Linked DNA regions of Xenopus tropicalis. The protein of the gene in region 1 purifies or fractionates together with the protein of each later gene. This does not show direct contact. Links are inferred from orthologs where the notes say so. Each region holds a gene or a part of one and is shown on either strand. Other genes may lie near its edges.

The links.
Region 2: the proteins of smad2 (region 1) and kat2b purify together in Homo sapiens (affinity purification with western blotting, with the first as the bait; 3 studies listed by BioGRID). This does not show direct contact. The link is inferred for Xenopus tropicalis from reciprocal best matches to the Homo sapiens genes SMAD2 and KAT2B.

The regions. Positions count from the first base shown.
Region 1 is NC_030677.2:206,124,066-206,127,048, reverse strand, and holds the end of smad2 (mothers against decapentaplegic homolog 2), read right to left. Parts: intron 2,818-2,983; coding exon 2,673-2,817; intron 2,097-2,672; coding exon 1,973-2,096; 3' UTR 502-1,972; downstream 1-501. UniProt on the Homo sapiens protein: Receptor-regulated SMAD (R-SMAD) that is an intracellular signal transducer and transcriptional modulator activated by TGF-beta (transforming growth factor) and activin type 1 receptor kinases.
Region 2 is NC_030682.2:45,629,707-45,633,230, forward strand, and holds part of kat2b (histone acetyltransferase KAT2B), read left to right. Parts: intron 1-850; coding exon 851-940; intron 941-2,406; coding exon 2,407-2,588; intron 2,589-3,524. UniProt on the Homo sapiens protein: Functions as a histone acetyltransferase (HAT) to promote transcriptional activation. Has significant histone acetyltransferase activity with core histones (H3 and H4), and also with nucleosome core particles.

The DNA.
Region 1 (2,983 bases):
AACCCTAGCAACCAGACAACTGCTGATATTCCAAACTGGAGAGCTGCTGAACAAGTAATTAAAAAAAACACAAATAATCATGAAGACCAACTGCAAATTGTCGTAGTATATTACTCCCTACATCAGGAGTCCCCAACCTTTCTTACTCGTGAGCCACAATCAAATGTAAAAAGACTTGGGGAGCAACACAAGCACCATAAAAGTTCATGGAGGAGCCAAATAAGGGCTGTGATTGGCTATTAGGGGCCTCTATGCACCCTATCAGCTTACAGGGGGCTTTATTTGGTAGGAAATCTTGTTTTTATTCAACCAAAACTTGCCCCCAAGTCAGGAATTCAAAAATAACTCCCTGGTTTGGGGGCACTGAGAGCAACACCCAAGGGGTTGGGGAGCAACATGTTGCCCCTGAGCCACTGGTTGGGGATCACTGCACTACATCATACTAAAATATAAGTCAAAATGGGGGGGGTCCTACAGAGGCCAAAAGAAGCGACGCCACAGTGAGAATTAAATCTTTTATTAGTGTATTCACATATTCGGCAAATGCAACACGCACAAAGCTTATGTCTTTAGTTCACAAGTTCTACCAATACACAAGCCTACTGGTAAAACTAGTTCACAAACGGTAAATGCTTTTGCCAATTACGTTTTTTTTGTTTTGCAATGGTTTGGCCTACTGCTTACCTTTCCGACACACAGTTGTGGAACTGCCTCTATGTTCTAAACGATACAGCATACAATTAAAGAGATGCCCGCTCTCCGAGATTTCGCTGAATGACGAGACATCCTAACACTGGCCGCTTTTGGTTTTTTGTTTTATTGGTTTATTGAGGTTTGTTCAGAAAGCCAAGGAGCAGTCACTAGCTGTACTCACAAAGTACACTACTAGTGTAAAAAGGGGGATAGCTGTGGGGGTAAGAGGGGGAGAGAGAAGGCAAATACTGCCCCAACGAGAAAGATCTGACAGACAGCAAGAGAACAAAATGGTTAGTAAGATGTACATATTAAAGCCAGAGTACCCTTTCTAAACCGCCTCTGCCCAACCCTTTCCCTATCCTCAGACATCCATAGAATAGAATTCTAAATATTGTATAGGGTCCAAATGTAGTGTCCAAGGGTTTACAATAACATGCACTTAAAAAAAAAACAATTAAAAATAAAAAAATAACCCCTCCTCTGCTGGTTACACTTCCAAGCCCAAAGGCTCCGGTGCTTGGCTTGCCAACTGGTACAAACCGTGATCGACCCAATACCATGAACGACTGCTGGGTCCGGGGGGGGGGGGGGTGAATAAAAATACGTTCGGCTACTCGATCACCGGTTGGTTTACCAGAGAACGCCAATTCGGGGGTGATATGTTCGCGGCTGCTTTGGAAAATACGCAAGGGGAGAGGAGCGACAGCAGATTCATTAGAACAACTTATAAAAATAGCAAGTAGTCAAAAAAGGAAAAAAAAAAATACAAATATAAGAGGGCAATAATAATAATAATAATAATGGCAAAACGCAATGTGTTTTGATTGTGACAGGAGTAAAATGAGGGGAAGCAGGCACGCTATCTGCTGCAACTAAAAGGCATAACTGCACAGTAACTGGAGAACAATATACAGGACATGTACATAGGGACTACTTGTGTTTATTGTTTATCCCGACACTCAACTCTTTGCCCAATAATACACTGTTAAATGTCCTTTTTTTTTTAAAAGAGTCCCGTCCCTGGTAAGGAGTCATTTATACACTAATATTTCAGCTACTTTAAGAGTATCAGAAACATAATCCGACAAGGTGCTTTACGTTGATGGGACCTCAAGTGCTGTTTTCGCTTTTTGTTTTTGTTTTTTTGTTTTTTTTTCTTTTGGATTGTAAACAGTTCATGGGGACCACACACAAATACTATGACAGACAAGCTGTATTGAGTCTGTTGCTGGGACTTCGGTTGCCACCCGCAGGTAATACATAAAAGAAGCGCCCATTAGGACATGCTTGAGCAGCGCACTGAAGGGGATCCCATCTGTGTCAACACTTTGTCCAACCACTGCAAAGGTCCGTTCAGGTGAAGCTCGATCCAACATGGAGTGCTTGTAACGGTCTGCCGCCTACAGACAGACAGAGAGGAGGGTTAAGCACGAGCACACAAGGCAGAAAACATTAGCAATGAGGCATGGTAATGCTTGATTATGTGCCACTGTGACAGAATGCTCTGTTATACAGATAGCTAGAATCTCAGCCATAAAGCAGGGCAGGACTGCTGCTTACAATGGGGGGGATCAGATAGGATCTGTGCCACTGTGACAGAATGCTCTGTTATACAGATAGCTAGAATCTCAGCCATAAAGCAGGGCAGGACTGCTGCTTACAATGGGGGGATCAGATAGGATCTGTGCCACTGTGACAGAATGCTCTGTTATACAGATAGCTAGAATCTCCGCCATAAAGCAGGGCAGGACTGCTGCTTACAATGGGGGGATCAGATAGGATCTGTGCCACTGTGACAGAATGCTCTGTTATACAGATAGCTAGAATCTCAGCCATAAAGCAGGGCAGGACTGCTGCTTACAATTGGGGGATCAGATAGGATTGGGTCAGCAGCTGTAAGTAGGTCTCTGCTCTGCATTTTCTCATATAGTGTATCAATATGCATCCAAAAATACACTTGATAAATGAAGAGTTACCTGTATTCAGCACCCCAGCCTTTTACAAAGCTCATTCTTATGGTGCACATTCGAGTTAACTGATAAACTGCTTCGAAGCCTTGATTCACAGACTGAGCGAGGAGAGCAGCAAACTCTTGGTTATTAAAAATCTTCAGATTGCATCCTGTGAGACAGAATGTAGAATTGCCACAATTACTCCGATTTCAAAATATTCCAACCAAAGGGGGTCAGAAGTACACCTTCCTGTGAACATGAGGGGTATTGAACTGCCCCCTGCGCATTTTGATATAGAATAAAAATGTACTCTCTTTTTCCCATAATTATTGGGG
Region 2 (3,524 bases), on another chromosome or scaffold:
TACTTACATTAGACAAGCAGGTATGTTGGACACAGATGTCTAACCCTGTATTATGGGACTACTAAAAGGCAAATTTTCTGTTCAGGACATACACCATATTGTGGTGCACACAAATAATTTTGTACTAATTTTAGCCACCCACTTTTCCTCTTTTGTTTGCGGGTACATACCTCCCTACATTTGAAAAATGCAAAGAGGGACAACATTTTTGACCACGCCCATTTTTGCAACCACACCTCCTAAAATACCACTCCCATTTTACAAAATATAGCAGGTTATTTAAAGTTTGAACACATTTCTGGGGGTTTGGGGGTCTTGTTGTGTTTTGCAAAAAAAAACAAAAAACCTGTTTAGCTTATTAGTTACAATTGTATCTAAGTGCATGTGTAGCTTCTTAACTTTTCTGGGCTTTCTGCCAAAAGCTACTTTTTTAATTAAGTTTGAGAAAGATTGTATCTTTTTTAGCTTGAGGGACTTTTTAGAAAGAATCTGGGACTGCGGGCTAAGCTGTCAAAATTGGGACTGTCTTTTGAAAATCGGGACAGTTGGGAGGCATGGCCCGACTATAAGGAAATTGTGGGTAATGCTGGCTCTCATGTTAGGGTATGTCAGAATAAGTTCAGCTCAGTGCACCATGGGTAGTTTTTTCTAAACCACAACTGTTGTTAAATACTACAGCTCAATACAAAACAGTTGCCAACTTGTTTGGAAGTAAAAACAGGGAATGAAATTATAGCTGAAGAGAGCATTATTTTATAGTCATGTGTGGGTTTAGAGTTACATTTTATTCTATTGCTGAAATGTATCTTACCAACTAAGAATAAAGCATGTACATACTTCTTCTATTCAGCTTTTGAGGAAGTGTATCCTGCAAATGGTGAAACCTGCAGTGGAAGGATCATTGGGTTCCCCTCCATTTGAGAAGCCTAGTATTGAGCAGGTAATGGGGATCTGACATCTTTTCCTACCTACCTTAGTTTTTTAATGTATGTATATTTGTATTTCTTTTTGTACTTATCAAAGTTCCAGGCTGTTAATCAGTGTCTAATTGTTTATTCCTTAGAAAGTGGTGTTTTCTTAACAAGGCAACTTTTGGAAATCTTGGGCTGTAGAGGGATGTATATCACTGATATTATTTTTTAGTTATAAAATGTCCTTTTCATAGCAACTTTGGTCTTTATTATTATTTTTTTGTTATAGATTTTGAATTATTTGCCATTTTGTTCTCTATCTTTCCAGCTTTCAATGGGGGGGGGGGGGGGGGGGTGGGTCACTGACCCCGACAGCCAAAAAACTGTTGTTCTGTGAACTTACAATTTTATTATTTTTGTTACTTTTTATTACGTAATTTTCTATTCAGTCCCTCTCCAAAACATATTTCAGTCTCTCATTCAAATTGTCTGGTTGCTATGGTAAACAGGACCCTAGAAAACAGCTGCTAAATTCCAAATAACTGATAAACCAAAAGGAAACAAAATTAAAAAACAAGTGCAAATTATCTTATAATATCATGTCTACATCATACAAAAGTTAATTTAAAGGTGGACAACCCCTTTAGTGAGCAGTGACTACATTGGGAACACTCTTGTCCTTACATTACATATTCGTGTTTTTGGACCTTTTGCGATATAAACACATAACCAATGGCAAATCTGCAAAATCCTACATTATTCTCTTTTAGTAGATATAATAATGTGTGTTGCTTTAGAAGAAAAAATCCAAAATTTTCTGACAATGCTTTTTATGTCATTATAACCTTATTCTTCTAGAATGATAGTGGGAAGAATTCCTAGTTCTAGGTCACTAAAGTGTTTAAAGGGCAAATATAACTACCATCTCTCATTCATTTATTTTCTTTATAGTCAATTTAACCTAAGTGTGCTGACTGAGAACCCATTCTCTGCATTCTGCACCACACTATGAAGCTACCACATGCCATGCACAATAATTTAACAATGTACAGTAATGACCAGTTTTCAGTATTGGCTTATTAAAGCCTAAAGGTGGCCATACATGGGCCGATTTTAGGTGCTGATATCAGTCCTTTAGACCAATTTGGGGACCGAATTGGCTAGTTGATGCGCTTCCCGAACCAACGTCGCCTATGCCTGCCGTTTTAATTAATTGAATTACCCCGATATCGCCCACCTGTAGATCTTACAGTGTATGGCCACCTTTACTGGGGCATCAGTATCTGGATGGCAGCCTTAATTGTAGCCAAGCAGAACTGAGCTGATCAGCAGCAAGTAACAGAGTCTGTATTACAGAGCAAATTACTTTCTACACTGCTCACGTTTTTTTCAGGCAGGGGTCAAGAAAACAAAATCTGTGTTATCTTCTTTCTAGGTAGTCTGAAAACATGAAGACTATATTCACTGTGCATCTCTGTATTTACTTTCTTTAAAGGGTGTAAATAATTTTGTACAGTACAAGTTCAGCCATTTGCCTTCCAAAGAAAGACAGACTATCATAGAGCTGGCTAAAATGTTCCTGAATCGCATCAACTACTGGCATTTGGAAACTCCCTCCCAGCGAAGACTAAGGTCACCAAATGATGATATTGCTGGATATAAGGAGAACTATACAAGGTACACTCTTCTTAATGCAATAGTAATGGGTATCTATTGCTGTTGTGTTGCATGCAATCTCTATGATTTGTGGATGTGCATCGTTTGTCGGCTTTGTGAAACTGAAAGACTGCAACAGAAAATCTGAAGTGGTTTGAACTGGCTGCCTGAGTAAAAGACCAAATTATTATTTCATGTGACCTAATTGTGGATTGTTGCTTGCGGGGTGTTGCCATATTTATTAAAGTGGCAAGGCCAAGGGCTTACACTCTATACACAATATTTCAAGGCAAGTACTTCCCTCTATCAAGTTCTTATCTATTCTTGCTATTCTGGCTGTCTTATGCCACACTAAATGACTGAGCATAGAGCCCTGGACAGGTGAAGAGGAGTCACACAGCCTACACTTAACAACAGCTAGAACTGAAACAAAGAAATTGCTCTTTGTAATGAACAAATAGCATAGACCTGGTATAGGATTCTAATCTTTTGACTGAAAGTTTACTTGCTGGTAGGGCAATGGCTCATGGGGAGATTAGTTGCCTGCGGTTAATCTCGGCTACCGTGGGTGACTAATTTCCCTGAAATACCTTTCCACAGGCAATAAAGTAAAATTTCCTGCAAGAGGAAACTTTAAGCGACCTCAGAAAACAAAGCGATATGTATGCCTTCTCGCCGGCGATTCACTTTATATTTGGTGGGAAGGCATTTTAGGAAGATTAGTCGCCTGCAGTAGCTGAGATTTAACTGATCTAACTAATCTCCCCATGGTCCATCAGCCTTAGCTTTTTTATGCTTATTTATCAGTGCCTTAATTACAATAAAACTTGTATTAATTTATAGTAATCTCAATGACCATAGGGAGGGGGTGCAATAATGTTAAAGTTTTAAAGGTATAAAGGTATAAACTATTTTATATGTTAGAAAAATTGAACACGCACAATAAAAACAAGCCTT